Linked DNA regions of Ovis aries. The protein of the gene in region 1 purifies or fractionates together with the protein of each later gene. This does not show direct contact. Links are inferred from orthologs where the notes say so. Each region holds a gene or a part of one and is shown in the gene's direction. Other genes may lie near its edges.

Evidence for each region.
Region 2: the proteins of RELB (region 1) and NFKBIE purify together in Homo sapiens (affinity purification with mass spectrometry; 3 studies listed by BioGRID and IntAct, counting the BioPlex papers as one, with this or other methods). This does not show direct contact. The link is inferred for Ovis aries from reciprocal best matches to the Homo sapiens genes RELB and NFKBIE.

Annotation. Positions count from the first base shown.
Region 1 is NC_056067.1:52,498,147-52,501,952, forward strand, and holds part of RELB (transcription factor RelB), read left to right. Parts: intron 1-3,254; coding exon 3,255-3,412; intron 3,413-3,806.
Region 2 is NC_056073.1:17,750,896-17,755,481, reverse strand, and holds the start of NFKBIE (NF-kappa-B inhibitor epsilon), read left to right. Parts: upstream 1-1,565; 5' UTR 1,566-1,773; coding exon 1,774-2,141; intron 2,142-4,471; coding exon 4,472-4,574; intron 4,575-4,586. UniProt on the Homo sapiens protein: Sequesters NF-kappa-B transcription factor complexes in the cytoplasm, thereby inhibiting their activity. Sequestered complexes include NFKB1-RELA (p50-p65) and NFKB1-REL (p50-c-Rel) complexes.

The DNA of each region.
Region 1 (3,806 bases):
AGGCAATGGCACCCCACTCCAGTACTCTTGCCTGGAAAATCCCATGGCTGGAGGAGCCTGGTAGGCTGCAGTCCAAGGGGTCGCTAAGAGTCGGACACGACTGAGCAACTTTACTTTCACTTTTCACTTTCATGCATTGGAGAAGGAAATGGCAACCCACTCCAGTGTTCTTGCCTGGAGAATCCCAGGGACAGGGGAGACTGGTGGGCTGCCGTCTATGGGGGCGCACAGAGTCGGACACGACTGAAGCGGCTCAGCAGCAGCAGCAGCAGCAGCTTTACGTGTTCACTTTCCCTGGTGGCTCAGCTAGTAAAGAATCTGCCTGCAATGCAGGAGAGCTGCGTTCGATCCCTGGGTTGGGAAGATCCCCTGGAGAAGGGAAAGGCTACCCACTCTAGTATTCTGGTCTGGAGAATTCTGTGGACTGTAGAGTCCGTGGGGTCACAAAGAGTTGGACACGACTGAGCAACTTTCACCGTTCACTTTACATGTTCAGATCACACTTTTTAGAGGTTCTCTGACCGGCAGGGCCCTTCGAGTGACCCAGGAAAACCAAGTAGGTCTGGGCCCCACCTCAAGGGGCTGGTATCTGTCTGCTGCCCCATGTAGCTGCAGAGTAGAATTCCAGCCCCAGTTGTCATAACTTCCTTTTTAAAAAGGAGAACCTGGAAATCTAGAAGAGCATGATGTCTCATACCTTTTAAATGTAGGCTCCAAATTTTCCCCAACTTCCGTTTGTTTTTTTTTGGCCGTGTTACACATTGGTCGGGACCTTAGTTCCCTGACCAGGGATCAAACCTGTGCCCTCTGCAGTGAAAGTGCAGTCTTAAACACTGAATATCAGGGAAGTCCCTTCCCCAACTTAAAAAAAAAATTATTTTATTGAATTATAGTTGATTTACAATATCGTGTTAATTTCTGCTGTATATCAGTGGTTTAGTTATATATACATAGGTATATATTTATACATATATTCTTTTCATTATGGTTTAGCACAGGATATTGAATATAGTTCCCTGTGCTATCCAGTAGGACCCTGTTGTTTATCCATCCTACATATACTCATTTGCATCTACTAATCCCAAATTCTCAGTCCTTCCCTCCCCTACCCCACCCCAACTTTTTATTTTGAAAAAAAATCTTTTAAATCTTTCTTCTAGATTTCTTGTTTGTTTCTTTCTTTGCAGTATAACTGATATAAAAAAATACACACTTAATGTACACATTTTGATGAATTTAGGATGAGAACAATTGCCATCTTCAGAAAAATTAAAAAAACAGTACAACAAGCACCTGTGTACCCTTCACCTGTATTCACCAGTAGACCTCAATTTTACCTCAATTTGCTATATCTGACCTCTTTCCATGCACACAAACATACATACAGATGCGTAGTGCTCACACACACACAGATATGCATGTTGCTTTTTTTGCAGACCTATTTGCAGATGAGTTGTAAATATCATGTTATTTCACCTGTAGATACTTCAGGGGGCATCTTCTGAAAAATAAGCTCCTGCATGGCTGCGACACTCATTACTATGCCTAGAAAAAAATCAATAATATCACATAATATCATCTAATATACAGTCCATGCTGGAATTTCCAAATTGTTCCCCCCAATTTTTTTTTTTTTTAAGATCTATTGCTTGATTGATTTTTGGCCGTGCTGGGTCTTTGGTCTGCACGGGCTTTCTCTATTTGCAGTGAATGGGGGCTTCTCTTCATTGTGGTGTGGGGGCTCCTCCCTTTGGCAGCTTCGTTTGTAGTGGAGCACTGGTTCTAGGCTTGGGGGCTTCAGCAGCTGTGATGCACCAGCTCAGTAGCTGCAGCCCACTGGCTCTAGAGCACTGGCTCAGTGGTTGTGGTGCTTAGTTGCTCCGGGCTTAGTTCCTCCAGGCATGTAGGATCTTCCTGGACCCGGGGACCCATGTCCCCTGCATTGGCAGGTGCATTCTTAACCGCAGGGAAGTCCCTCAAAATGTGTTTTATAATGATTTCTCCCTCCTCAATCTAGGGTCCTATGTTGCTTTTGGTTGTGTCTCTGGAGTCTCTCGCCTCTATTTTTTTGGAAATTGAGTTGTATTTGATCAAATATTGTGTGTAGCTCTAAGGATTTTGACCGATGTATACATTATTTAACTACCAGCCGATCAAAATACTTTTTTTTTTCTTTTTGTTCAAATATGACACCTATCTTTTTTTTTTTTTTTTTTGCTGCTCTGGGTTTTAGTTGTGGTGTGTGGGATTTAGTTCCCCAACCAGGGATCAAACCCAAGCCCACTGTGTTAGCACAGAGTCTTAGCCACTGGACCACCAGGGAAGTCCTCACTCATCTTTTTATTATCTTTCATGACACAGATATGTCTGAATGGATGACCTGCAGTTAGGGCTTGTTTGACATTTCCTCATGATTGGGTTCTGGGGTTGCACTTGTGGAGGGGCTGTCATAGAAGAGAGCCTTCTTTACGGTCCAGCTCTCACATCCATACATGACTACTGGAAACATATCTTTGACTAGATGGACCTTTGTCGGCAAAGTGATGTCTTTGCTTTTTAACACACTGTCTAGGTTCGTCATAGCTTTCCTCCCAAAGAGCAAGCATCTTTTAATTTCGAGGCTACAGTCACCATCCGCAGTGATTTTGGAGTCTAAGAAAATAAAAATCTGTCACTGTTTCCAACTTTTTCCCCTTCTATTTGCCATGAAGTGATAGAACTGGGTGCCATGATCTTAGTTTTTGGAGTGTTGAGTTTTAAACCAGCTTTTTCACTCTCCTCTTTCACCCTCATTAAGAGGCTCTTTAGTTCCTCTTCACTTTCTGACATTAGAGTGGTACCATCTGTGTGTCTGAGGTTGTTGATGTTTCTCCTGGCAACCTTGATTCCAGCTTGTGATTCATCCCAGCAGAGGATGCCTGTGCTCCATTGCCCCCGTATTGGTGATGCTGACCTTGCTGACCTGGTTAAGGTGGTGTCTACCAGGTCTCCCCACTATTAGCTTGCTCTCTGCCGACCACACTTGGAGACCTTGTGTGCATCCATTTTTTTTAAGTCGAGCGGCCAAAGACAGTGCATCCGTGGGTCAGCTCTCATGTTATGAGGTCCCCAGGTTGGAAGCTTTGGGTTTAGGATCTAAAAGAGGTCTTCCACCGACACACTTCCATCGTTGAGGGGGAGACGAGGTACCAGAGGAGGCTTGGATGGGTGCAGGTGTCTGCGATGGGACCCCAAAAGCACCCGTCTTCCTGCAGCTCCGGGACTGTGGAGGGCTGCGGGAGGTGGAGGTGACCGCCTGCCTGGTGTGGAAGGACTGGCCTCACCGAGTCCATCCCCACAGCCTCGTGGGGAAAGACTGCACAGACGGCGTCTGCAGGGTGCGGCTCCGGCCTCATGTCAGCCCTCGGCACAGGTACCTGACTTGACCCCTTGTGCTTGGTCATGGAGATTTTGAGGGGCTGAGGATCACCTGAGAAAACCTTAGGGCTGGGGCAGCTTAACCAGACCCTCCCCACTGCATTGCCTAGATGGGGAAACCAAGATGTGGGAACAGCGGAGGGTCTCGTTTAGGCCTGGAACCCTGCTGCCTGCACCTCCACATGCGCTATGTTTATCCCCATTTTGTAGGTGAGAAAACTGAGGCTCAGGAAGGTGAAGGGGCCCAGAGAGCCAGTGGCAGAGCCGGGGTTTGACTCCAGACCTGACTTAACTGCAAGGCCCATTCTTTCTTTCACTTTATAATTTATATGTTTTCAATTTAAAAAAGCAAAAGGTTCAGAAAGGGTGTGCAGTGAAAAATGAATTTC
Region 2 (4,586 bases), on another chromosome or scaffold:
GGGGAGGAAGTTGAGGATGTCTTAAGTCACAATGACCCCAAGGGAAGGAGATGCCTCATTTTCCTTGGGCTTTCCCCTCATGGCTCCTCACCCTCTCAGGCTCAAGATATCCTCCCCACTCCAGCCTTCAGGGGGGGATGGAGACCAGTGGGTCACCTCCTCCCAACTGTCCTCCCCTCTCCTTTCTCCCTCCACTCACCCCCTTCCCAGAAACTAGGTACTTCTTCCCAGCCCTCTTCCCTTCTCATTTCCAGTTCAAATGGAACCTCCTCTACCGCTCACCCCATTGGGTAGTTGGCCCCATGTTGTGCCCCTCCAGCGTCCTGTTCTCACGCCTATCTTAGCCCAATCACTCTGAGTTGTAACTGCTAGGGGGTTTTGAAGGCTGGAACCATGGGACAGTTTTTTTTATGTTTGTTTGTTTGGGGGGGGATGGTAGTTGTTGGTTATTACTGTTACTGTGAGCCTCCGTTTTGCTTCCAACAGAGAGAACAATGTCAGGCATATAGAAGAAGCTCCTTACATGTCTATCAAATGGATGAATAAAATGAGGTTTCATGGGGAGGGTGGGAGGGAAACTGGTTAGTAGCTGCGTGTTCACACCCTAGCTTCCTTCCTTCAAAGCCAGAGTTGGGAAAGGGAGATGTTTTCTTGGGGGGGATTTTTCTAAGAGCATTTCTGGAACTTGGGGTAGGGGATAAATCTTGGGCAGCTGATTTGGGGCTCACCACGTGGGTGGGATTTGCCTACAGCCTCCTGAGGCTAGGCCCAGGGAAAATAGGGATGGGGAAAGGGGAAAGATGTGCTGGTATTAGGGCTGAGGCTGCCAAGGGGACCTCAGCAGAGTGCTGCCCAGAATGTCTGGGGCCTCCCCATCCTGGCCCCACCATGAGGAACTACACTTCCCCAACCAGATGCTGTTACTGTCTGAGACCAGTATTTTATCCCTGTGAGGAATGACCACTCTGCTTTTTTAGACCACAGGCTTTTCAACAGAAAAACCACTTGCGAAGAGCACATCCTCATGTCCAATTCTATGTGATCTGAAAAACTGGCACAGGAGACTCTGTCTCCAGAACCCAAAGGGAGAACTCCTTTAAAGACATGGGTGTCCCCTTTGGCTCCGGGAAAAGCAACAGAAATTGAGAGTAGTGGGCCGGGGACAGGTAGCAACGCTTCCCCGTCCCACCTCCCACGTGCCCTCCCCAGAAGACGCCCAGCTTGTGCAGACGATTAACATATATTCCTCTTAAACGAAAGAATAAATGAATGGGAAAATGAATGAAGAAAACAGAGGAAGTGAAGGAAGGAAAGAAAGAATGCAGGGAATTCATACATGGAATGAAGGGAGGGGGAAAGAGTGAATGAATGGACGGTTGGATGAATGAATGAACGGGTGAGTTAACGCAAGAGTGAGTCAGGACCGGGGAACCCCTGACTCCGAGCCAAAGCAGAGGGCGGGGTAAGGGGGATTCCGAAGGGCGGGGCGTCCGTCCGGAAGCGCGGCGCCTGCCGGGGGCGGGGCCTGAGGGCGGGGCGAGCGAGCGCGTCTGACTGCGCTGCCCAGTTGCCCCGAGTAGCGGCTGCCGCGGACCCCGCCGGCGCTCGGAACCTCGTCCACGCTTCTCGCCGAGCCGCTCAGCCCAACCCGCAGCCCGGAAAGGAGGCCATTTCGGGTCCAGCACCCGCTCTGTGAGGCGGACCTGCAACCCGGAAAGGCGGCGAGGAGTCGGATCCTCCTGGGACCGGGCCCGGCGGGCCGGCGCCGCGGGGATGTCGGAGGCGCGGAAGGGGCAGGACGACACCGATGAGAGCCAGTATGACTCGGGCATCGAGTCTCTGCGCTCCCTGCGCTCCCTGCCCGAGTCCACCCCGCGCCCAGCCTCGGGGCCCTCAGAGGGCGGGGGCCCCCAGCCCTGGACTCATCCTCCGGGAACCGCCAAGGAGCCAGAGGACAAGGAAGACACGGACGGGGAGCGGGCTGACTCCACCTACGGCTCCTCATCGCTCACCGAGCCCCTGTCCTTGTCGGGGGACCCCAGGACCGAGGGCGCAGTTCCAGACTCCCCGCTCCGCGCCGCCGGGGCGCTGAGCCCTCAGCAGCTGGAAGCACTCACGTACATTTCCGAGGACGGAGACACGTGAGTATGGGGGCTAGGCTAAGAGAGGACCCCTTCCTCCGCCCCGATGCTAACTCGGGGCCTTCTCCAAGAGCCGTAACAGGCCGGGCATTCCCTATGTGGGGATCCCTAAAGGCACCAGCTCTGGAAGGGGCGGTCCCCACTCTCTCTTTCAAACTGAACTCTCAACCCACTTTTGAGCTGTATCCAGACCCAGTCCAGAGGACCTGGCATCGTCTGTCTGCCCCACCTTTTGGCAGGGCCCTCACCAGCACCTGGAACCCCAGCTAGCATCTTGGAAATCTACCAGTAACCCATCCTGGGGAAGAGAAAATTCCCCTGACCAGCCCAGTTTTGTTTTGTTTTGTTTTTCTCGCTGGAGGACAGAGCATCCTTGTTTGCTTAATATCTGGGATTCCCGGCCTCTGACCTCAGAATGCCCTGTCTCAAAGAACAAGAGGGGCCAGTGACAGGCTGCCGGTGGGCCCAGGAAGCTGGGGTCTGAGGTGCTGCCAGGGGTGCATGGCTGAGGCTGGCCTGTGGAGTCAGTGAGCCAGGCTGGGGCACTCTTGCCCCAGCAGACAGATAGGCGGCTGGCTACCCCAGCTAACTTCCTCCTCTGTTGAGAAAGGGGAAGTGAGGGCTAGAGTCAGCCTTACCGACACTCTCCACCTCCTGAGCCCTGCAAATCCCCCTCACTGTCATATGTGACCCCTTCACTTCATCCTTCCTCCCCAGGCCCAGGTGGAGCTTGGTGGAGACTGGGCTGGGGCGGGGCCGGGGGGAGGGGTGGTCAGAGAGGCAGTTGTGTGGTAGGGGCTGGCCAGGTGAGGATTCACCCCTCAGGAAGAAAAGATGGATGAGAGAGGGGGTGGCTGGGATTTGGGGATGGGAAACAGAGTGGAGGGGGGCTGGGGTCCTGGATCTGGGCTGCTGGAATGAATGGGGAGGAGGAAGCAGGAGCTGTCTGTCTTGATCTGCTTTTTTGGAGATGCAAAGGTCCTGGGTGGCCTCTGACAGAGACAGACTCTGGACCCACTGGGTGACCCTAGGCCTTTTTGTCCTCTGTACCTAGAGATCACCAGCCCTCAGGCCTACAACCAAGATTGTGCAGGCCCTGTGCAGAGTACCTGTGGTTGACCTTTGACCCAGGGAGTGGAGGCTTCTGCCCTGCCCCCCTTGCTTAGCCTCTCAGCCCCAGCTTTAATCGCCTCTAGTTAGAGACAGGTGTGGAATCTAGACCCGGTGGGGGCGGGAGGGAGGTGTCAAGACCCCCCAGAGGGTTCCCTGAGAGGAGAGGGCGCTTTCTTCCCTCCGGAGGTGTCTGGGCTGTGGACATGTGGAAATGGGAAGAGGAAGTGGGAGGAGGGAGACTGAGGGAGAGAGGGAGGTGGCTGCAGGAATGTGACCAGAGAGCAGGCCCTGGCCGAGGGGATTTCCAGCGCGGTTCCTCCCTCCCTCCCTCCGTCACTCTCTCCTGGGCCTCGCCAGCCACCAAAGCCTGCCCCCCCTGCCCCAAGCAGCCCCCTCCCCAACCCAGACGGGCCTTTCAGCCAGGCTTCCCCCTGACGAATGCCCCAGCAGCTGCCTGCCCCGGCCTAGACCCTCTGGCTCTGGCTTTCATTTTCCCCACCTGACGTGGGGAAACCCCAGGGCTGGAACTTCCCCTCCTGTCCGCCCCAGGTTAAGGCTCTTTATCCCCCACCCCAGGCACACATTTTCTGCACTGCACAGTCCTCCCCGCAGAGGCACACACAGGAGCGGGGGCCCAGCTCAGGCTCCGTCCCAGCCCTGCAGAATGGCCTCTGGCTGTCCCGTGGAGAGCAGCAGGACAGAGCGCTGCCCTGTCTCCTTGCTCCTTTTCCAAGAGCTTCTGTCTCCTCTCTTTTGGGAGGTGTTCATGAGGGGACAGAGGGTGACCCCACCCCTGCCCTCTCTGCCCTCCCCATGAAGGGGGCAGAGGTGGGGAGCCCAGCCCTGGAAACCACCTCTGTGCTACCCCAGCGGCTTTCAGTTTGGCTTTGAGCTGCAGCTGCCTGGTGGGGGCCCCAGGGGGCCAGAGGGGAGCGGGGTGTGGGCAGGGTGGACAGGAAGGACCTTGTCCCGTCAGCACCCTGCCCACATTCTCACTCAGCCAAGGCCCTCCCAAAGGCCAGAGATGGGAACTTGGAGCTTCCACCCTCAGGATCCTGGCTTCCCGCAGCAACCCTCACTTCCTGGCCCAAACTCTCACTTCCTGCACCTACCCTCTGGGTGGCAACTTAGACACTGATGTGTTCTTCTAACCCCAGAACCCCAGCCCACTCTGTCTGGCCTGAGCCCTGACCCCAAACCTTGCCTGTGCCTCCCAGGCTGATCCACCTGGCAGTGATTCACGAGGCCCCTGCCGTGCTGCTGTATTGCCTGGCTCTGCTGCCCCAGGAAGTCTTGGACATTCAGAACAACCTTTACCAGGTGGGTGGAGAT